3 linked regions of the Lonchura striata genome follow. The protein of the gene in region 2 interacts with the protein of the main gene of each other region in a pairwise test. Links are inferred from orthologs where the notes say so. Each region holds a gene or a part of one and is shown on either strand. Other genes may lie near its edges.

The links.
Region 1: the proteins of RAB2A (region 2) and TBC1D25 interact in binary tests that used the Homo sapiens proteins (3 or more experiments, as listed by UniProt). The link is inferred for Lonchura striata from reciprocal best matches to the Homo sapiens genes RAB2A and TBC1D25.
Region 3: the proteins of RAB2A (region 2) and FAM114A1 interact in binary tests that used the Homo sapiens proteins (3 or more experiments, as listed by UniProt). The two-hybrid records come from large-scale screens. The link is inferred for Lonchura striata from reciprocal best matches to the Homo sapiens genes RAB2A and FAM114A1.

Annotation. Positions count from the first base shown.
Region 1 is NC_134638.1:1,573,816-1,581,597, forward strand, and holds the start of TBC1D25 (TBC1 domain family member 25), read right to left. Parts: upstream 3,082-7,782; coding exon 2,995-3,081; intron 2,699-2,994; coding exon 2,589-2,698; intron 2,509-2,588; coding exon 2,357-2,508; intron 473-2,356; coding exon 351-472; intron 1-350. Other genes in the region: GRIP1-associated protein 1, read right to left, coding at 3,748-3,819, 4,321-4,451, 5,171-5,264, 5,904-6,038, 6,324-6,436. UniProt on the Homo sapiens protein: Acts as a GTPase-activating protein specific for RAB33B. Involved in the regulation of autophagosome maturation, the process in which autophagosomes fuse with endosomes and lysosomes.
Region 2 is NC_134603.1:37,405,622-37,413,546, forward strand, and holds the start of RAB2A (ras-related protein Rab-2A), read right to left. Parts: upstream 3,002-7,925; 5' UTR 2,680-3,001; coding exon 2,634-2,679; intron 1-2,633.
Region 3 is NC_134606.1:22,666,009-22,673,907, reverse strand, and holds the start of FAM114A1 (protein NOXP20), read right to left. Parts: upstream 3,079-7,899; 5' UTR 3,066-3,078; coding exon 2,972-3,065; intron 2,398-2,971; exon of another isoform or gene 2,330-2,397; intron 1-2,329. Other genes in the region: toll-like receptor 1, read left to right, coding at 7,043-7,899. UniProt on the Homo sapiens protein: May play a role in neuronal cell development.

The sequences.
Region 1 (7,782 bases), on a different chromosome or scaffold from region 2:
GTGCTAGGTGTGCCTCACCTGCACCAGGTGTGCTCCTGTGCCAGGAGTGCCTCACCTGCACCAGGTGTGCTCCTGTGCTAGGTGTGCCTCACCTGTGCCAGGTGTGCTCCTGTGCCAGGAGTGCCTCACCTGTGCCAGGAGTGCTCCTGTGCCAGGAGTGCCTCACCTGTGCCAGGTGTGCTCCTGTGCTAGGTGTGCCTCACCTGTGCCAGGTGTACTCCTGTGCTAGGTGTGCCTCACCTGTGCCAGGTGTGCTCCTGTGCCAGGTGTCCTCCTGTGCTAGGTGTGCCTCACCTGCACCAGGTGTACTCCTGTGCTAGGTGTGCCTCACCTGTGCCAGGTGCGCTCACCTGTGCCAGCAGCGCCTGGGTGAAGGGCAGGGCCGCCGCCAGCAGCGAGCGGCGCTCGGGCACCGGCTCGGCCGCCGCCACCTCCCGCGGGCTGATGATGTCCCAGTCCTCCAGCAGCGGGCCTGGGGACAGCACACCTGAGCCACAGGTACCTGAGACCCCCCCAAGCCCCACCTTGCACACCTGAGCCCCGCCTCACACACCTGAGCCCCCCGGGCTCCCCCAGGTAGCCAGCACCTCCTGACACCCAGCCCAGGCCTCCAGGTGTGCGTCCCCAGGTGTGTCCTGCCCCGCCCAGGTGTGTCCAGCCAAGTCTGTGACTACCCCAGGTGTATCTCAGGTGTATTCCAGGTGTGTCCCCACCAACCAGGTCTGTCCCAGGTGTACCACAGGCGTGTCCCAGGTGATTTCTCCCACCTAAGTGTGTCTCAGGTGTGTCTGGGGGTGTCTCAGATGTGTCCCAGGTGTGTCTCCCCCCACCCAGGTGTGTTGAAGGTGTGTGTCCTCCCACCCAGGTATGTCTCCCCCACCCAGGTGTGTCCCAGGTGTCTCTCCCCCACCCAGGTGTATCCCAGGTATATCCCAGGTGTATCCCAGGAGTGTCTCCCCTCCCCCAGGTGTATCTCCCCCCTCCAGGTATATCCCAGGTGCACCCCCAGGTGTGTCCCAGGTGTGTCTCCCCCCACCCAGCTCTGTCCCAGCTCTGTCCCTGCTGTCCCAGCTCTGTCCCAGCTCTGTCCCAGCTCTGTCCCGGCTCTGTCCCAGCTCTGTCCCGGCTGTCCCTGCTCTGTCCCAGCTCTATCCCAGCTCTATCCCGGCTCTGTCCCGGCTCTGTCCCGGCTCTGTCCCGGCTCTGTCCCAGCTCTGTCCCAGCTCTATCCCAGCTCTATCCCAGCTCTGTCCCGGCTCTATCCCGGCTCTATCCCGGCTCTGTCCCAGCTCTGTCCCAGCTCTATCCCAGCTCTATCCCAGCTCTGTCCCGGCTCTATCCCGGCTCTATCCCGGCTCTATCCCAGCTGTCCCAGCTCTGTCCCGGCTCTATCCCGGCTCTATCCCGGCTGTCCCGGCTCTGTCCCAGCTCTGTCCCAGCTCTATCCCGGCTCTATCCCAGCTCTGTCCCAGCTCTATCCCAGCTCTGTCCCAGCTCTGTCCCAGCTCTGTCCCAGCTCTATCCCAGCTGTCCCAGCTCTGTCCCGGCTGTCCCAGCTCTGTCCCAGCTCTGTCCCAGGTGTGTCCCGGCTCTGTCCCTGCTGTCCCAGCTCTGTCCCTGCTGTCCCAGCTCTGTCCCAGCTCTGTCCCTGCTGTCCCGGCTCTATCCCAGCTCTGTCCCAGCTCTATCCCAGCTCTGTCCCAGCTCTGTCCCAGCTCTGTCCCAGCTCTGTCCCAGCTCTGTCCCAGGTGTGTCCCAGCTCTGTCCCAGCTCTGTCCCTGCTGTCCCAGCTCTGTCCCAGCTCTGTCCCTGCTGTCCCGGCTCTATCCCAGCTCTGTCCCAGGTGTGTCCCAGCTCTGTCCCAGCTCTGTCCCTGCTGTCCCAGCTCTGTCCCAGCTCTATCCCAGCTCTATCCCAGCTCTATCCCAGCTGTCCCAGCTCTGTCCCAGCTCTATCCCAGCTCTATCCCGGCTCTATCCCAGCTGTCCCGGCTCTATCCCAGCTCTGTCCCAGCTCTGTCCCAGCTCTATCCCAGCTCTGTCCCAGCTGTCCCAGCTCTATCCCAGCTGTCCCGGCTCTGTCCCGGCTCTGTCCCAGCTCTGTCCCAGCTCTGTCCCAGCTCTATCCCAGCTCTGTCCCAGCTCTATCCCAGCTCTATCCCAGGTGTGTCCCAGCTCTGTCCCGGCTGTCCCAGCTCTGTCCCAGCTCTGTCCCAGGTGTGTCCCGGCTCTGTCCCGGCTCTGTCCCAGCTCTGTCCCAGCTCTATCCCAGCTCTGTCCCAGCTCTGTCCCAGCTCTGTCCCAGCTGTCCCGGCTCTATCCCGGCTGTCCCGGCTCTGTCCCGCTGCGCCGCTCACTCTCGGGGCCGTTCCTGACGTCCAGGCGCAGCCTCAGCGCGGGCCGGGCGCAGCTGAAGGCGTTGGCCAGGTCGCCGTCGCTGAGCAGCGGCACGAAGGTGTCCTGGCCCTGCCCGTTGTGCGCCGCGAAGCTCAGGACGAAGCTTTTCTTCCTGAGGGGGCACAGCGGGGCTCAGCCGGCTGCTCTGGGCGGGCCCAGCTACAAAAAGGGTACAAGGGGAGCCCCGCTCACCCCTGCAGGTCGAACGCCCGCGCCAGGATGTGCTGCAGCACATCCAGCGACGTGATCTGCGGGTCCACGGCGAACGAGCGGAACTCGGGCGGCTGCTGCCCCTCGTTCTTCTGCGGGAGGAGGGTCCCGGAGGGTCCCGGAGGGTCCCGGAGCCCCCCGGCCCCTCACGGCGACCCAACATGGCGGCGCAGCCCCGTCCCCGCGGCGACGCCGCGCGCTGATTGGCCGCTAGGCCCCCACGTGACGCCAGAGGCGGGAAAACTTCCCGCCCGTGCCACGCGCGCAGGCGACGACGCCCCCACGAGCTGATTGGCTCCGCCCCCTCCAACCACACCCGGGGCGTAACCACGCCCACGAGCGGCCCCGCCCACCCGCGGCCCCGCCCACGCGCGGCCCCGCCCCTTACCTTGACGCGCACGCGCACTACCTCGCACTCCTCCTCCAGCGCGGCCCCGCCCCCCGGCGAGGCCCCGCCCCCCGGCGCCGCCGCCATGTCGGGGCGGGTCCCGGGGGGGGGTTGGGGGTTCTTGGGGGGTTTCGCCGCCGCCGCCGCCCCCCGAGCCGGGGAAGCGGGGGGGCTGGTGTTAGGTCACCGTGCTGACGTCACGCCGCGCCCCCCGGCGGGCCGGTGCGCGGGGCTGGGGCGGGGGGATCCGGAGCCGCGGCGCGCCCGTGCCCGTCCTGCGGCCGCGGCCGCGGCAACAACATCCGGGGCAGCGCGCGGAAGTGACGTCACGGGGCGGGCTCGGCAGGGAGGCTCTTAAATGACGTCACCGAGCCCTCCCGCCCTTTCCCAAGGCAGCAAAATGACGTCAGAGGCAGCGATTCACATCGGGTTTATTGGGGGGGAGAGGGGGGGGCGCATGCGGGACCCCCCTTAAACGGGCAATGCCACAGTGGGGACCACCTCCTCCTTAAAGCGGCAACGCCGCGGCGGGGACCGACCCAGCTCTTAAAGGGGCAACGCCCACCCGGGAAACACCCCCACCCCACCCTTAAAGGGGCAACGCCATGTAAAGAACCGTCCCGCCTTAAAGGGGCAATGCCGGCGGGGCCCAGCACGGCCTTAAAGGGGCAACGCCTCCCCCGCAGCAGCGCCCCGGCCGGGGGGCGGAGCCTGCGGGGGCGAGGCCCCGCCCACCAGGCGAGGCCCCGCCCCTCAGGGGGGTCCCGAGGGGGTCGCCTGTTCCTTCCTGAGCTGCGCCAGCTCCTGGGACAGCGACTCCAGGTCCTGGAAAAGGGGAATGAGGATGGGAACAGGCCACGCCCACTGCGCGAGGCCACGCCCCCAGAGCGGCCACGCCCTGTCCTGGCCACGCCCACCGCCGAAAGCCCCGCCTCCACTTTAAGCCCCGCCCTTTCACGTCGGTAAACTCGGTGATGTCATCGCTTATGCCACACCCCCACGTTTAAACCACGCCCCCGATGAGCCACACCCCGTTTAGCCACACCCCTTTCCACAGACCACGCCCATCTCCACAAACGATGGGCTTTTGGGAGCCACGCCCCTTTCTCACAAGCCACACCCCTTTCCTCACAACCCCCGCCCCTTTCTCACAAGCCACGCCCCTTTCTCGCAAGCCCCGCCCCTTTTCTCACAAACCGCACCCCTTTTCTCACAACCCCGCCCCTTTCTCACAAGCCACGCCCCTTTCTCACAAGCCACGCCCCTTTTCTCTCAAGCCACGCCCCTTTCTCACAAGCCCCGCCCCTTCGGGCCCCGCCCCCTCACCTGTGCCAGGTGCAGGTTCTTGGTCAGCTGCTCCTCCAGGAGGTTCTGCAGCTTCTTGTTCATCTCCCGCAGCCCCTCCTCACCGGGGCCCGGCCCCGCCCCCGCCCCGCGCCGCGCCGGCCCCGCCGCCTCTGCGGGCAGGTGGGGACAGGTGAGAGGGACAGGTGACACTGGGACAGGTGAGACTGGGACAGGTGAGGGGGACAGGTGAGATGGGACAGGTGAGATGGGACAGGTGAGGGGGACAGGTGAGATGGGACAGGTGAGAGGGACAGGTGAGAGGGACAAGGGAGACTGGGACAGGTGAGAGGGACAGGTGAGACTGGGACAGGTGAGAAAGACAGGTGAGATGGACAGGTGAGAGGGGACAGGTGAGACTGGGATAGGTGAGGGGGACAGGTGAGACTGGGATAGGTGAGACTGGGACAGGTGAGGGGGACAGGTGAGGGGGACAGGTGAGACTGGGACAGGTGAGAGGGACAGGTGAGACTGGGACAGGTGGGGACAGGTGAGACTGGGACAGGTGAGACTGGGCCAGGTCAGGGCACAGGTGACACTGGCACAGGTAAGAACCATCAGACGGATGGGGACAGCTGAGGAAGGGACAGGTGAGCTGACGGCTGGCTGCAGTGCCAAGTGAGGGTACAGGTGAGGGAGGGCCGTGCAGCACAGGTGAGGGTACAGGTGAGGGAGGGCCATGCAGCACAGGTGAGGGTACAGGTGAGGGAGGGCCGTGCAGCACAGGTGACAGCAGTGGAACAGCTGGGACAGGTGAGGCTACAGTGACAGCTGGGACAGGTGAGGTCCACCTGAGGCCCAGGTGCCACCAGGTGAGCCCGGGTGCCCTCACCTGTGCGGCTGTCCCTGACGAAGCTCTGGATGATGGCGCTTTTCCTGCACAGATCCTCGGCCATGGACGCGCTCGACACCTCCAGGTGCCTCACCTGCCCCGGCAGCTCCAGGTGAGCGGTGCCCCAGGTCCCTCCCAGTTCCTCCCAGTCCCTCCCAGTTCCTCCCAGTCCCTCCCAGTTCCTCCCAGTCGCTTCCAGTCCCTCCCAGTCCCTCCCAGTTCCTCCCAGTCCTTCCCAGTCCCTCCCAGTCCCTCCCAGTCCCTTCCCAGTCCTTCCCAGTTCCCTCCCAGTGCCCCTGCAGTTCCCTCCCAGTCCCTGCCAGTCCCCCCCAGTCCCCCCAGGTTCCTCCCAGTCCTTCCCAGTCACTCCCAGTTCCCCCAAGTCCCATCCCAGTCCCCCCAGTCCATTCCAGTTCCCTCTGAGTCCTTCCCAATTCCTCCCAATCCTTTCCAGTCCCTCCCAGTTCCCTCCCTGTCCTTCCCAGTCCCTCCCAGTTTCCCCCAGTCCTTCCCAGTTCCTCCCAGTCTCTCCCAGTTCCCTCCCAGTTCTTCCCAGATTCCCCCAGTTCCCTCCCAGTCCCTCCCAGTCCCCCCAGTCCCTCCCAGCTCGCTCCCAGTTCGCTCCCAACCCATTCCCAGTTCCTCCCCAGTCCCTCCCAGTCCCCCCAGTCCCTCCCAGTCCCCCCCAGCTCGCTCCCGACCCGTTCCCAGTCGCTCCCAGTGCTCCCAGTACCTTCTCCTCCAGCAGCCAGCGCTCCTGCTGGCTCTGGGCCAGCCTCTGGAACAGCTCGGCCACCTCTGCCGGGGACAGGCCCCCCCCGGCCGGGACCCCCCCGGCGCTGCCGCCCCCGGGGCTGCCCGAGCCCGACTGCGCGGGGCGGGGCCGGGCCGTCAGGCCACGCCCACCGGAGCCACGCCCACCGGAGCCACGCCCACCGGAGCCACGCCCACCAAGGCCACGCCCACCGGAGCCCCGCCAAGGCCACGCCCACCGGAGCCCCAACAAGGCCACGCCCACAAAGGCCACGCCCACAGGAGCCACGCCCACCAAAGCCCCACCGGAGCCCCGCCCACCGGAGCCCCACCAAGGGCACGCCCACCGGAGCCACGCCCAGCCAGGCCCCGCCCCTTTAACCCGTTCGGCCCCGCCCACCTTGGTGCTGCCGGGGGCGGAGCCGTCGCGGCCCAATGAGGACACGGAGCTGCTGTCCCCGCCCGGGCCCCGCCCCGGGGACGAGCCGCCGTCCAATCCCAGCTCCTCCAGCCCTGGGGGACCCCAAAACCCATCAGGGACCCCCAAAATCCATCAGGGACCCCAAAATCCATCAGGGACCCCAAAAATCCCATCAGGGACCCCCAAAATCCATCAGGGACCCCAAAATCCATCAGGGACCCCAAAATATACCTGGGAACCCCCAAAATCCATCAGGGACCCCAAAATATACCTGGGAACCCCCAAAATCCGTCAGGGACCCCAAAATCCATCAGGGACCCCCAAAATCCCACCAGGGACCCCCAAAAATCCACCAGGGACCCCAAAAATCCCATCAGGGACCCCCAAAATCCCACCAGGGACCCCCAAAATCCATCAGGGACCCCAAAATCCCATCAGGGACCCCAAAATATACCTGGGAACCCCCAAAATCCATCAGGGACCCCAAAATCTCAACAGGGACCCCAAAATCCATCAGGGACCCCCAAAATCCCATCAGGGACCCCAAAAATCCCAACAGGGACCCCAAATCCATCAGGGACCCCCAAAATCCCACCAGGGACCCCAAAATCCCATCAGGGACCCCAAAATCCCATCAGGGACCCCAAAATCCCATCAGGGACCCCAAAATCCATCAGGGACCCCCCAAAATCCATCAGGGACCCCAAAATATACCTGGGAACCCCCAAAAAACCCAACAGGGACCCCAAAATATACCTGGGAACCCCCAAAATCCCATCAGGGACCCCAAAATCCCATCAGGGACCCCAAAAACCCATCAGGGACCCCAAAACCCATCAGGGACCCCCAAAATCCATCAGGGACCCCAAAATATACCTGGGAACCCCCAAAATCCATCAGGGACCCCAAAACCCATCAGGGACCCCCAAAATCCATCAGGGACCCTCAAAATTCATCAGGGACCCCAAAAATCCCATCAGGGACCCCAAAATCCATCAGGGACCCCAAAATCCCATCAGGGACCCCCAAAATCCCAACAGGGACCCCAAAAATCCATCAGGGACCCCAAAATCCCATCAGGGACCCCAAAATCCTTCAGGGACCCCAAAATATACCTGGGAACCCCCAAAATCCCATCAGGGACCCCAAAATCCATCAGGGTCCCATTCTGGGGCTCCCCCTCCCCAAATTTTAGAGTTCTCCTCCAAATGTTGGTGCTACCCCTCCCCAAATTTTGGGGTTACCCCCTCCCACGAATTTACGGGTTCCCCCCTCCCCAAATTTTGGGGCTCCCACTCCTCAATTTTGGGGTTTCCCCCCCTCCCTGAGGCTTCTCCCACCCTCAAAATTTTGGGGGTCACCACTCCCCAAATTTCTGAGTTCCCACCTCCCCAAATTCCGAAGTTCCCCTCTCCCCCATTTTAGGGTTGCCATCCCA
Region 2 (7,925 bases):
TATATATTAAAAAATACAGTTAAGAACCAGATTAGAAGCAATCCCATGTTCATAAAGCTACCATGCCTAAAGTATCAAAAAAGAAAAGTCAGTGAATGCCAATGACCAATGAAACAGGGAATACAAAGGGACAAGAACTGCTGAGCACAAGGCAGTCTTGCACAGTCAGCCTCTGGCTGTCATTTTAAGAGACTGAGATGATCCTGAATTCCTGTGTTTAAGCAGATGAAAGCATATGGAATCAACTCAGAGAAGGCACATACAGGTGTCTTGTGTAACTCCAGGGAGGTTTCATTGGTTTGCTTATGGATCACACAACTTTGTTTTTTAGTGCTGAAAGAGGAGCTAAATGTTAACATCAGTCCTCAGCTGAGTCTCTTAGTTTTCTCCTACAGTTTGTTTACAACTAACTGCTGAGTCACCAGGCAGCTGAGGCATTTCCAAAGACTCTAAATCAAATACCAGAAACAAATTTCTCGACTGCTATGAAATCTACATGGTCTGCAAGGCCAGTGGCATATCTTCACTGGCTAGAAAACTGTGGACACCACCATGGGAACTGAAGAGGACAGTCATGATCCACTTTTAATTTCCACTGTCAGAACTTTGAGTTCAATTGCCTTCATCTGAGGAAGAGCATTAATACCTAGACTACCACCACCATCTTGGCAACTGTGCACAACATAACTTGGCTCTTGAGTACTACCTCTATTAGAACACTTAAAAGGCTCACAGGAGATCTAAAAGCAAAACCAACTTACCACTATTGACATATTCAATTCACTTCAAGAATAATGATTGCAGTAGTTTTAATTAGTTTCCTGTAGCAACTCAAGAACACAAGAATTTAAAAAAATTACTAACCAAAAAGCCAACAGCAAATTTGTGAGCTGTTTTCCTCTCTGTGTTTCCTTTCTCTTACTATTCTGATATTTGGTTCTTAAGCAGCTGCAACAACTGCAGAAATGACACATCCATTCTGTATTTCACATTTCAAGCAACTCCTCAAATTCAGGAGTGCAGCACAGACCATTACACTGAGGATGTTTCTTTGTAAAAATTTAATCAGTATACAATCAATGTACCAAAGCAACTGTAAGCTGCTGTCTACCACTTTAATGACTACAGTTTTTAGAGATGCCCCAGAACTGGCCACATGCTCTGAGACACTGCCGTTCTGAACTGTGCACTACTGTCTTGCATCACACCAGCCTGACAAACCTCTTCTTACTTCTCCTGAATTTGCACGGGTAATATCCTGTCCTGGTCTGATGAACTGTCACTCAAGTAAACACTCAACAAAAATCAGAATTATCATCTACAGCCTAAGGTTTCCAACATGGTCATTACAACTGCGATGTATTTCTAATAATTAACTTGTACTACAGCTGCTGCTGCAGAACCTAAAAAGGCTTTCAGAGTTTAAATACACATTTAAAAAGCAGATAAAAGTCACATAGTAGTTGCACCCACTCTATTTAACAACCTCATGTGTAATGCAACTACAAGGTATAATTATATTCCACCAACAGATAATTTGGTTCATAGGTATGAAGTACAATTATGAAGGCATCCCTCAGAATAGCACCTAAAAAACCAGGTGTGTCATCAAACTTATTAAAGAAGGCATTTAGACAGGTATGAGGAAAACAGCAAGGAAAACACACAATACACAGGCACAATGGTTAACTAAGTCAGCTACCTTGCCCTGACAACAGTTTGATTGAAGTATGCTACTTCCATCCATGCTAGGTGGAAGAAGCATAAAATGTATTAGCAAAGGGTCTTCAAGCAGCAACTCCTACCAGCATATGGCTATGCCAACAGCATTTGTAAGCATTATTACTTATCACGCAGCAGCCAGTTACAAATGGAATGGAGTAAGTTTTTGAGAAATGTTCAACGCTAGGTCGGATGGAGCCTTAAGCAAGGTGGTCTAATGGGAGGTGTCCCTGCCCACAGCAGGGGGGGTTTGTGACTAGATCATCTCTAAGCCCCAGTCTAACCCCTTGACAGTCTATGATTCAGTATGTTTTTAAGAAGTAACAAGAAACATCTGGAAAAGCAGTGGTGTGTGTACATACATACACATAAAAAAAGAAGTCCCTTTAAATTAGACTGGAAGAGCCAGGGCTTTTAATTCTTCTTTGACAGCGTGTCTTCACACAGTTTGTTACAGAGCTCCAGCCCAGACTGGAAAGAGCATCCTTGCAGCCTGAGCTGAAGGTAACTCGCAGCAATGAGACAGAAACTCATCACAAAACTGCGAGGACGAGTGTGGCCTCGCTACCACAAGGCTGCAAACCACGGGCACTACCCAGATCTAAGTTTCGTTGTGACAGCGCCTTCCTCCTCTCCGCCGGCCCGCTCTGCTGCCGCAGCCGGGGCCGTGACACAGCCGGCGCTGCCCCGCGGCCCGCCAGCCGGGCCCGGAGGCGGCTGCCAGCGGCCCAAGGCCGTGGGAGACAAGGCCGAGGCCGCGGGCGGGGCCCGGCGCAGAGGCGGGGGGAGACGCCGCCTCTTCCTCGCGCGGAGCCACCACGTCGGCGGCACTGCCAACACTGCGGAAATGGGCGCGGGGAGCCGGGCCTTCCTCCCCGCCTCCCGCCCCGCTCCGGCGCGGGCTCACCCACCTGTGTCTCCGATGATGATGTACTTGAAGAGGTACGCGTAGGCCATGGCCGCTCCCGGGCTGCCGCTCCCGGGCTGTCCCGCTTTCGCTCCGGCGTGACGCTCGCGCTCGCCGCCCGGGCTCGCGCTGCGGAGAGGCGGAAACGGCTAACGGCCCCCGGGCGGCGCCTCGCCCGCTCGCTCCCTCCTACCTCCGCCCCCGCGCCGCCGCTGGCGGAGGGGCTCTGCTCGCTCGGGCCTGCTGTCCGCCCTCCCTCGCTCCCTCCCGCCGCGGCCCCGCAGGCGCCGGGAAAGCCAGAACGCGGCGGCGGCGGCGAGAACAATAAACAGGCGCCGAGCGGCCCGCGGACCCTCCGGCGACGTCAGCGCCCGCCCCCTGACGCCGCCCCGCCTCCGACCCGGAAATGCTGAGGCGCGAGGCCGCTCCCGCCGCGCGCGGGGCGGAGCCTCGGCCCCCGCCCCGCGGGACTGAGGGCGGCGGCGGCTGCGGTGCGGCGCCGCGCGGAGCTGCCGTCCCTGAATCCCGAATCCATCCCGCCGGGAAAGATCTCTGGGGTCATCGCGGCCACCCGTGACCAAACACCACCATGTCAACTAGACCGGGGTGCTGAGTGCCACATCTAGTCTTTCCAGGGACGGTGACTGCACCAAGTCCCTTGGCAGCCCACGTCAATGTCTAAGCACCCTTTCCCTGAAAGAGTTCTTCCTCATCTCCAGCCTAAATCTCCCCTGTCACAGTTTGAGAGTATGTTCTCTCATACTGTCGCTGGTCGCCTGGGAGAAGCAGCCGACCCTCACCTGGTTGTAACCTCCTTTCAGGGAGTTGTAAAGAGTGATGTCACCCCTGAGCCTCTTTTTGTCCAAGCTAAACCCCAGCTCCCTTGGCCGCTCCTCACGGGATTGGTAGTCCAGACTCGTCCTTCCTTGGACTAGCTCCAGCACCTCAATGTCCTTTATAAATCGAGATGGCCCAAAGCATAAACCCTCTGAGAATAGCCAGCAACGAGCTGTTTGGTACGAGTTTATCTTCATCCCATGAGTGAGTTCTGGCTTGGAAGGGTTTTTTCCCTTTCTGTTTCTGTCTTTCCTCACTGAACTGAAAGCAACGAACTAGGGGAGTAACCTAAATTCACAACTGGTGTTTAGGACTTAGAGTTCACACGGGATTGGTGAGCTGGAAGAGGCTTCAAGGTCTTCCGTAGTCTCAGCTGCTTCATGAAGTGTCCGGTGTACCCTGGCCTTTGGACATAAAACAGTCAAAGGCAGCTTGGCTGACATATCACATCCACACTGAGGCTACAACAGATGCCTGGCAAGGGTAAATGTGGTAGGGCACTCCAGTCAGATCATACTGACAATGTTTTGGGATTTCCTTCAGCTCAGCTGTGTGGGCTGGTGGTACTGTTCAAGAGTCATTGGCACATTCTTCATACAAACTGACATTTTACTCCCCTTCTGGCTGTCTGGTAGAATGTGAGTAAAAGGTGTCTGTCTTTTAACTTTATAGAGGTTTTTATTTGTGGTTAACAGCTTGGACAACATTGACCTACATGGCTTCTAAAAGGTGTGCCTCTGACTTACTTGTAAAAACCTTCAATAAAGCTGATTGTGCCAAATCCTGCTGTCATATTTCATGACCTGAAACACAAAATTAAGTTGTTGGTTTTTTTTAATTCCTGTCTACTGTGGATGTGCAAATGCCCCCCTGCCAAACAACACCAGGAAGTGGAAGGAGCTCCTTTATATATTATAAACATATCTACCTTTTCCAAATGAAAAATTCTGACTGCTTGTCAGATGTTTGCCTACTATTTTTTTTCCTCCTCTGGACTTCTAATTTTCCCAACACTGTTTATTAAGTGTAGAGCCCAAAACAGCAGTTCTCACATGTCTCTAACCAGCCTCATCACCTCAAAACTAGTAAACGAGTATCTCCAGTCTTGCCCCTCTCTGAACGTGGGTTTTTTTTTTAATCTACAACATCTGAATTTAATTTTTGATACCAGATCCCTATTCTAGATAGTTACTACTCAAGTGTATCCATACATTTGGTATGTCTTTATTAGCACTGTTTTTTCCCTTGCTAAATTTCAATAGTTTAGCAAAAATATTTGAATTTTTTTTCTTTTTATATTATCTCTGCCATTTTGTTACCCAGACCATTCATGACAATATTGAATAGGTCTTGCATGGACAGGACAGAACATCGAGAAAGTGGCATGTGAAATTTTCTCATAGTTTGAAAACCTCTCCATGCTGAAAAGAGCCATTTCTCTATTATTTTATTTGCAAGTAGTTTCAATACACATTTTTGTTAATAAACAATTCCTAGCCAGAATGAATTTTTTCAGAGAAGCAGGTTTTTGCCTTGCTTCCTATGAAAGTTAGGCTTCTGTTTTCACATATCCCTGTGCGTCTCTCTTTCTTGCCCTAATAATGATCATGAAATCTGGCATCTGGCAATGGAGCAGGGTACCTCAGCTGAAGGAAAGGCTGCAGTTGGGGTCAGCTGTCAAACCCAATCAAAAATTCACACTAAAACATGTCTTCTCAAGTGCTTCCTCAGCAGCTAAGCCCTTCAGCTGGCATTCAAGCTGTTGGCATGGGTTTGTGTGACCTCAACCACTGGAGACAAAGCTGTAGGAGATCAGGCCATAAGCAGATAAGATCTCATCCTGTATAAGTAAAGGTTGCTGCTTCTAGGGATGGGGCAGCTCTGTTCCTCATAATCTCCCTTGTTCTGGCACTGTCAGAGTCATCTGCTGAATAGGAGAAGTGGCTAAGCTTTCATTTTTCCATATTAGCTTTCAGGAAAAATCATCTTGGGTCCCTCAGCCACACCAACAAACTAAATAACCTCATCAGTTGGATCCCCTCTCTGCCCAGCCATCACTGCTCCCAAAAGATCCTGTGGTTGTGAGGGCTAAAGTTTACTCTATGCGATCAGTCATACAGACAGGTATCAACTCTCAGGATGAGCTCTCTCCTGTAGCTGCCTCCCCTGTGACTGGCAGGATGAAGTAGAACTGTGTGAGATTTTGTGTCCTTCACCTTCCCTTCAGAGCTCTGTTTTTGTTCATGACAAAGTCTCCATTAGTACTGTTGGGGATTCCTACATAATTGAGCCCCAAAAGGTATTACTCTGAGGGTTGGTCAAGTCTTGGCAATCTGTCCTCAACATCAAACATGAGTTCAAATGTGTTTGATGGTGACAGACTTTTTAATAGGGACTGTAGCAATAGGATAAGGGATAATGGTTTTAAACTAAGAGAAGGCAGATTTAGACTAGACATGTGGAAGAAATTTTTTTTAGCATGAGATTGTTGCTTGTTGCAGAGGTTTGGGCTCAATGGTCTTTGAAGGTTCTTTCCAGCCCAAACTATTTTATCATTGTATGAGTGCATGATTCTATGATTCTGTTTACCTCGCTAATGGGATTTGGTCTCATAGTTCCCAAATTTTGCCATCTGCCAGACTTCTAGACAAGCCAGATTGGCCTGATGCAATTGAATGAGATCTAGTAAGAAAAGGGAATTCTGTTTTGTAGAACTGAGATTTGCTGATGGGGAGAAAATACAGACAGTGCAGAATGCCCAGTGAGATGGAAGGTGCTTTAACATCACGGCTGAACTGACAGTTGACAGGTGGGTCAGTTCAGAGGGAAGGCAGCTCTACCTGTTTGTGCTTTGGCAGCCTGGTGAGCCAGCCAGTAACCAGCTTGCAGGTGACTCACATGGCAGGGCAGTGCCCCACTGGCTTCAGTGGCTGTCAGCTTGGGCCAACAGCTGTACCATGGACAGATAACCTGGCCTCTGCTGGTTGGCCAGGCAGCCAAGCTGCTCTGTGGAGTACTTCAGTCATTTGTGCTGGTTAGGGATAGTTGGGATAGTTATTGCATCAGTGTTAGGGATAGTTTTTGAATCAGTGTTTGGTAGAGGCTTGCAAGGATAATGTGCAAGAATTTGTTGCTTATGCTATCACATGGTAAGTACAAGCTAATTTGCTGCTGGAGAAGAGACTGTTCCTAACTTACTGAATGTTATCTGCTTTTCTACAAATCTGAGATGCCTCCAACTAGAGATTAATATAAAATTGATTTTTCTCCAAGTTATGTGTACCATATATCATGTTAAGTACTAATAAGAGGTATGCAAATAGCTACTGTAATAATTTTAATTTTTTTTACTTCTCACCTGCTAAATTTACTTTTTTCAGAGAAATTAATATCTTCTTTTGTTAAGCATTAATACTTGATAGAAGGCTTCAATGTAATCAGACTCACTTATTAAAAAAAATATTAGCCAGTTGATAAAAAAGAAGCATTGGTAATTCAGTATTGAAGAAATGCAGAGGATTGTTTTTCTTTACTTTTTTTCTTGTTAATATTATCATGACTGCTCATCTGTAATGATTTTACATCATGTGATGAAATATTTCACTATGATGACTGTGTCAGGATAATATTCTGGTAAATATGGGAAAGTTTCTGGATACATTTTGGAAAACTGTAACTTGCTGGGGTTTTTTGTGTCACTTATTTTTTTCCTGAATTTTCCACTTAGTAAACTCACTTGGGGTTTATAGAAAAGCCTTAGGCTTTGCAGGATCCTTACCACTAAAAGTACTATTTAGGAAAGAGGCTTGGAGTCATCCAAGGCTCGACATACTCTCCAGAGCAAAGTAATAGACTGGAATTTTTCAATGGAAATTAAAACACAAAAACAGAACTCTGGCATAATATTTGAATACAATCACTTTAATTATATTTTGTACAGTTGTATCATTTAACTGTTAGAAGTAAATCTCTACCTCCACTTCAGTCTAGCTTAAATTTTTTAAATAATTCAGTTGTATGGTTAAATTTTCTATACAGATGCTGAGTAGGAAATGTTATTTTCTGGTGCCTGTCATTTAACTTGTCTGCATTTACTTTTTCTGAACATTAGGTGTATGCTATAATTTTTCTTATTTGTGAATTTTAAGATTAGATTTGTATAATACTTAAGAAACAAGTCAATATGCAGTATATTTTATTTATTATAAATTTTGAGAATGGGACCCCACTTCATATGGAAATAAGTATAGAGAGCAGATCCTGCAAGAAGACAAATAAAGCTAAATCTCAATAAAGATCTGCCTTTGTAAAGATAATTTTAAAATACATGTTAAGCCTGTAAAGGTGAACTGGGGACAACTTCTGAGTTGAGTAGTTAGAAATGTCTGTGAGTGATGTGTGGCTTGGGTTTTGCAGGTCCTAGATCAGGCAGCTTTGACTGAGATTTCAGCTAACAGCT
Region 3 (7,899 bases), on a different chromosome or scaffold from region 2:
CACAGTGTTTACCATATGCTACTGCTGAAAAACAATACAGCCTTGGTCTAAGACCTCCTAAAGCATGGAGCCCTGTGGCACATGCCTCATGCTGGCACTGGTATCAAAATAATACTGTAAATACTCCATTCACTCTGCTGGATCCCACTCAAATACAAAGAGCAGCATTACTGTTTTCCAAAATATGGTTCAGTGAGAGTGAAAGGATATTAATTTTTCTGGAGAAGTCAAATGTAGGAGTTTCCACATGGTTAATGTCAATATTCGCTATCAGGTGTGTATGAAAGACCATTGCAGAACAAAATAATCCAAGCTGCAATAACCAAGCAGCTCTTGCTTTCCCTTTCATCACTGAGACAAACACAGGTTCCTACATCCTGCTAATAGAGGGGAGGATAACTCTCTGTACCTAAAACTGTGGTGACATTCATGTGCTTGAGAAGGGGCACAATCTGTGAACATGATAGGCCATGGGCCCCTAGAGCCATTTCATAGACACAGCCATAGCATAGTCATTGCTCACACTGTTTCTGTATCACTTGTCCCAAAGTCTTGCTCTTTGGGGAATGCATCACTTCTCACCATCTCCTAAAACTCCAACTGTGTGATTTAACTTCAATTTTGAAACCAAGATAAGTTTGTAAGTTATGAACCAGTTTTCTCTTATTTCTTCCTTGTCTTCCAATGTAATTTTGGAGGTATTTTCCACAATTGTACAGTCATCAGGCTAAGGATGCTGATGGGCAAAGATAAAGCCATACAGCAAGCTCTGCAGCTGATTAAGGAGTTGCACTGCCAGAGTCCAAAAGAACTGCTGGTCTGTGATTAGTAACACTTATTTTTTGGTAACAACAGTATACTTGGCACTCAGGAAACAATCCTTGACAGAGAGCTTGCAAAATGTTGAGTTGCATGGCATAAAGACTTGTACAGTTCTCTCTGTTGATGCTGCTCTCTCATTGACTCTCATATTAATTAAACATGGCTCAAAGGTTTGATCTGTCAGGAAGAATGGGGATTCTATGAGAGACTAAAGAACAGGGGGAAAAAAAGGCAAAAAGAAAACATAACTGGGATTTAGGAGAAATCTGCCTGAGAAGCATGTATTTAATTAGTATATTTTATTAAAGTCTATAGAACTGTATATATCTATAGCTTTAGGAGCCTGTTCATCTAATGTGAATGTAGATCACTTGTTTAAAGAGTTCCAAGAGTAGCACTTCGGATCAGTGAACAAGAAACATAAGTAAAAAAGTAAGCACTTCTATTACTTCAGCTTACACTGTACCTTAATTATCTTCAAAAAACTTGAATTCTGAAGTCAGAATCTTTGCATTTGACAGTTTTTCATTTAAAATGCAGCAAATATTATAAAATGCTTTCTTGTAGGGAAGTATTGCTATTGTTTTAACAGTACGCACTGTGTGAATGGCAGCATCACCTAAGGAAAATTCTTCTATCTGTAAATCAAATTCCATCATGAGGTATGGGAATTCTCTATTAAAACCTGTAAAACCTTTAGACACATACTTCATAATTTTGAATGGGCATTAGCTCTGAGTAAGCCCAGCACTTTTTAAAGGATCACACAAATGCGCACATGGATTTTTGAAGTACTGCAAAAAAGTTTTTGCAGTCATCTTTGGGTACCACTCAGGCCACGCTCCCTGCAGCTGCCTGCTGAACCTTCCTTCCAGAGCACGGCAGGTAACAGCAAATCACCGCCTCTGTCAGACCACACGAGCTGCACCCGGGGTCAGCGCCATTCAACCTTTCATCCCTGAGACTGTCCTGATCCAAATCAACTCGGACGGCTCCGCCCAAAGGGAATTACTCTACGGGGAGCTCGTGAGGGAGATGCTAAGGCCAGCCCGGCCCGCACGGAGCAGCCGCGCTGAGGGGCCCGGCGGTGGCGGCACCTGCCGCGCTGAGGAGTTTCATCTCCCCTAGAAAGCAAAGCCCCGCTGCCGCCGGGCGCCTTCGGGCACGAATCGCCGTCCCCGCGCGGAAAGGAGGAATCACTTTTTTGGCGACAGCACCTTGTTCCCCTCTCGCTCGACGCCCGCTGCCGCTTCTCCTCCGCGGGCACGGCGGGCGCAGGCGAGGCTCCCGCGGCGCCCGGCGCCGGCAGCTCGCCCTGCCCCGCTGCCCTCTGCCCCACGCGCGGCACGAGCAGCCGGGGCGCCGCTCCCCCGAGCCCGCAGCGGCCGCAACTTCCCGCTTCTCCTTTTCTTTTTTCCCCTTTTCGAAGTTCCCCTCTGGGACAGAGCTGTGTGGCGTAGCCAATGTCAAAAGCGGCAGAAAATGCAGAAATCGCCGTGCTCCTTACCACTCAGCAGTGCCCCGACCGGCGCGGCCCCGGCTCCTTCCCTTCCCCGCCCCGCCACGTCGGCAGCAGCGGGGGGAGGAGGCAGAGCGGGCCCGGCAGCCCGGGCCGGCCCAGGGAGGAGGGAGGGCTGGCTTTTGTCCCTCGCTCTCCTTCCGGCTGCGTGAGGCGCCCGCCTGCTGCAGGGGCAGCGCCGCGCCGCTGCCGAGCCGTGCCGGGCTCAGGCTTGTCCGGCCCGGCCGCCATGCCCGCCCCTCAGGGCTCTCGGCGCGGGGACCCCGCCGGGAGCGCCGGGCCGGCTTCCCTCAGGGCCGCGGCGCCCCTGCGGCCGTGCTGGGGCGGAAAGGGGCAAGTTCATAGAGTCATAGAATATGCTGAGCTGGAAGGGACCTGTCGGGATCAACGGGTCCAACTCCTGGCCCTGTGCAGGCCATCCCAGGAATCACGCCACGTGCCTGAGAGCGTCGTCTCCAAACGTTTCTTGGACAAGCTTAGTGCTGTGGCTGCTTCGCTGGGAAGCCGGTTCAGTGCTCAGCCATCCAATGAGAGAAAAAGTCCAAATTAATCTAGTTGCTGAGCTGGCATTATTTTTTTTTTTTTTTTTTAAGAAAGTCTGATCCTTCCTCAAAGTGAGCACTTACTGACCGTGGGGTTGCGGAATTGAACGGAGATGCAGCTTTTCGATACCGCTGTGTGTACCGGAGATGCCCTGGCAGGAGCCGGCGCTCCCCGCACGCATTTCCAGTCAGTCGGTGAAACACTTGGTTGAGCAAAGGGCTTTCAGGCTGTTCCCAGTAGCCGTGGTTCTTGTTTCCGTGTAGTTCCTCATACCCGTTCCTCTTTTTTGCTGTCTTAAGGCAAAGCATGGTGAAAGACAATATAGCAGCATTTCTATCACTAGTCTGCCAACGAGAGAAGTTTTGACATAGAAGGCAAACCGGCACACTGTGAGCCACTGAGAAGAGCTACTCCAAGCGGTCACAACAGCTGTCAGAAGGGTGTTTTACAAATACCGATCATGCTATGTGACTTTACCAGGCATAAATCTCTGAAGTATCTCAGTTACTTACTACCTGTCCTATCTTTCAATTTCATTTTTGGATGACTTCTTTTCACTTGAGGCCGAGAAATTATATTTAATATACAGAATAAGCCTCAAAGCAAAAAAGTAATTTTTTAGATTATTTCCTCTGCTGCCTGAATAATTGAAATATTAAATAATGAATGTATATTATTAATATAATGAAATATTAGATCATGAATATGAATCATTAAATCATTAATATGCTAACCCAGAAAGGTAAGTTACAGTGTGGCAGTTCTGTATTTAGGTCTCAGCTATGGTGGAATTTCTAACCAATATTATCAAGAAATGAAGAGAGACTGGTTTATGTCTTTGCCAGGACAGTAGCCCTGTGTTTGGCCATTCAGTACCAAAGTCACAGCTCTGTTTTAATTAAAAAAAAAAAAAACAACCAAAAAAACAAAACAAAACCAAAACAAAAAACCCAAACAAACAAAAAAACCAAAACAAAAAAACCAAAACAAACCCCTCTCAATGTATCCATGTTCACTGTTTAACCCAATAACAACACTGCTGGAGCAGGAGAGGGATTATTATTCCATTCCCATTAAATGGAAATTAAACTAAGACAAATGGTACTTTTATAAACCAGCCTTGATAAGAGTCTGACAACTAAATTGGTATAGCTAAATGGATGAAAAATTAACATAATGCATAGAGACTTAGATCATGATTAAATTCAGATAGGAAGGTGTTTGAATTTCTTATTCAAAAGAAGTACTTATTTTCATCTTAATTTAATGAAGGTATAAAGTTGGTAAAAATATTCATTTTTCTCTTGTTTAATATATTGCAAAGCATAAAGCCACAAAGTTCAATAATAATAGAATAGGGGGATATTACAGTAATGTATGTGAAAAATATATCTGGAGAAAAGCAAATGCCATTTCACAAGCTGTCAGTAGATGGCACAAACCGGTATGTAAAAATTTGGGTGTTCCTAAGTATTGTTACTCAATAGGATAAAGTTACAGGAAGTTTTTCTTTTTTTTTGTTTTCCTGAGAACACTTTCTGCTTTTTCGGACAGCAGGGATTTCTGGTGAGAAAGTTTTAATTTTGTTGACTTTTGCTGTTGCTAGTTAGCTGGAATTGTTTTATCTTCTGTATCTTATTTTAAAATGTGCCTTGTATTCCACAGCATGTGTACGATGTTCTTTTAAGTGTATGGGTAAGCAATGATGGTGAAGTTGCTTGTGTTCAGAATATTTCTCCAAAAAACTGTCCAAGTAGCAGTCTCTTTTTATTAGCACTACACCCATAATTAAGTGAGGCAGAGTGATGACAGTAGTTTTTCTCCAGTTCAGGAACTGGGTCTAACCTGATCATGTGTTTCATCCTTGTTGAAGGCATGTTTGTAACATCAGAGGTTTTTGCTATGTTGGTATCTTGTGAAGTGCATGTCTTAATACTGAACTGTCTTAGCTAAAAGTATTCTGTATATTTCTTATATGGAAGTTTAGTCAGTTTATACCAGTTTCATATTGGCAAAACTCTTAAAACCTCATTTTTTTTCTCTCCCCTTTCTCTATAAACAACAGGGCACTTTCCTACTATGCTCTTTGCTTGCCTACCCTCCTGGATTGTTTTCTTGATTAAGCTTTTTTTATCACGTTTGAAGACATGAGGATGCTTCTGAATTAAATGTGATATGACTGTGAAGGATAATTTCTACAGTATTAGTCTCCAAATCACAGGTTATATGTTATAAAAGCTTTTTACTTGTGTTGCTTCCTATGATATTCTAAAGAAATTTTTAAGGTACTCATAAATAATTTGACTGAATGCTAGGATATATGAAATAGAAAGAAAATAAAACACATGTAGAAGACTCCTATCCTTTTTTCATCTAGTCCATGGATATTGCTGAAATTTTATCCAAAGAAGGAATAATGATTTAAAGGTAAATTTTTTTTTTCAGCTTTCTCTTGAAGCTACATATTTTAAGCACATAAATTTATAAACACATTAGTAGAGTTGCCCAAACAATCAGAAGAACAGGATTGAATATACCCAAGTGCATTTTGAGGGCTGTGATGCATATAATTTTTCCAAATGAGAATTTGGAAAAAGGCTGGAAAAGTTTTGCCATATTACCCTGCTTTTTCTAGATGATTTCCAAGCTTAGTTTCATGCATTCTTTAAAAAAGAACTCAGTGTACTTTTTTTTTTTTCTTTTTGTTAGATCAAGTAGAACATGTATTTTGCCCCAGTAGTTCTGAGAAAGCTTGTGGAATGGTTAATGGTGCAGTGAATGTAGTCTTTGAAGTTCTAAATCAGTCTGTCAGGTGATAGCTACTGTCTCATTCTAGAGTCATTAGAAATATATAAACTCAGAATTTAACCTCTTCAATATCAAGTGAAAGTTGAAGGCCTGTGCAGTCATTAATAAATACTATGGGAAATTTTGGGCAACAATATGATTTAAAATTAATGGGAGGGAAAGAGAAAGAAGAGGAAATAAAAAGACATTAGAAATCTGGAAAACAACTTTAAATAATATTTACACATTTAAAAGTGTTAAAACCAAGTTCTTGCCAGTTCCTCTTTTAGATGGGAAGTCTAATGGATTTATGCAATACCTAAAAGGAGATTTAAGACAGTATTCTCAATGGCTGACTTAAACAAAGGGAGGCTGGCTATCCTAAACTGCTACATTCAGAAAGAAAAAGTTACCTCTAATAGGGAAAACCAAAGCAAAGACACAGTTATCATTTTCCCCTTTAAAGTCTGTTTGAATAAACCTCTCACACAACAGAGATGTTTGAGGTCAGTGTCCTTAAATCAGGGCTGGATTTTGTGTAGAGAGGTTCTGCAACTGATATATTTTTGTGTAGCCTGCAAATATTGCCAGCATGTGTCTGGTGTTCTCTTTGTACACATGTCAAGTGAGATGTGAGCACCCCAATTTCAGAGTCTAAATTCAGGAAATGCTTAAGCTCAGACAAAAAGTGAACCCTTCTGTGGACTTCCCCAAGGCATAAATATAGATCATTCTACCCTCACCCCCATTTCCCCAGTTACAAGAAGCACTGATGATCCAGTCTCAGCTATCTAAAAACATTCAACTTTTGAGGAATGTCTCTTGAACCTTCATTCTATGTTTCAGTCTAAGGGTTGCTGTCAAAAGTACATTTTTAAATAATGTCTCTGAGCCCAGTTCACATCATTTAAGGGAGAATCTGAGTAGACGATGACGTGTTGACACCAGTTATTGTACTTTCTAATCAAAGTGTATTACACAATTTAGGAAGCCTTCATAATACACTGTATCACAGCAGTAATGCTGTAACTAAGCAGCAAATTTTAGACACATATGAAATCAGACATATTTTGTTAAAAACTGACTCATTATTTGATAAATACACCATAGTTGCCAAATAAAAAATTCAGTAATCTGTTAATAATGAATGACTCTTCTGAATGATTGTAGAAAATCATTGCTTTTTGAATCAAACAGAGTGAGAAATTGGAACCTTAAAAGAATCTCTCAGAATCTCTCTTTCTGATGGTTCCTGCACAGCTACTTAATACAATCTGGTTTTTGCTTGTGTTTCTTTGTTTTCTGCAGGATTAGAACAAAGATGGACAGTTAAGAAAAGTATTGAGCGTCTTCAAGGAAACAGAAAACAGTATGACACAGAATACAAGCTTTTTTAGAAACGGTTTTCTTTACAAGTGTCTGTTTGCATTAAGTTTTTGGAGCCACATCAGCCTGTCTGTGGAAGATGAACTCTTTACATCTGTTTCTAACAATTTTCCAGAAGATGATTCTAAACAAAAAATCAAGAGCCTGCCACTCCTGTATACAAACAGTAATCAGTCCAAAGCTGATTTTGATTGGGTTGTGATACAAAATACTACAGAAAGTCTGTCATTGTCAGAAATCACAAATGACAATGTAAAAAAATTGATAGCTTTATTATCTAATTTCACACAAGGATCCAGGTTACAAAATCTGACACTGACAAATGTGTCAGTGGATTGGAATGCTCTTATGGAAATTTTTCAGACTGTATGGCACTCGTCCATTGAATACTTCAATACTAACAATGTAACACAACTGTCAGACATTGAAAGTTATGACTTTGACTATTCAGGTACTTCTATGAAAGCACTGACAATGAAGAAAATTATAATCACGGACATGTACTTCACACAGGATGACCTATACAAAATATTTGCAGACATGAATATTGAAGACATGACAATAGCTGATTCTGAGATGATTCATATGCTTTGTCCTTCATCTAAGAGTCCCTTTAGATACCTAAATTTTTTAAAGAATGATTTAACAGATTTTCTTTTTCAAAAATGTGACAACCTACATCAGCTGGAGATATTAATCTTGCAGAAGAATAAATTCGAGAGCCTTCGCAAAGTAAGCTCCATGACCAGCCGTATGAAATCACTGAAATACCTGGACATGAGCAACAACCTGCTGCGCCACGATGGAGCTGACGTGCAGTGCCAGTGGGCTGAGTCTCTGAC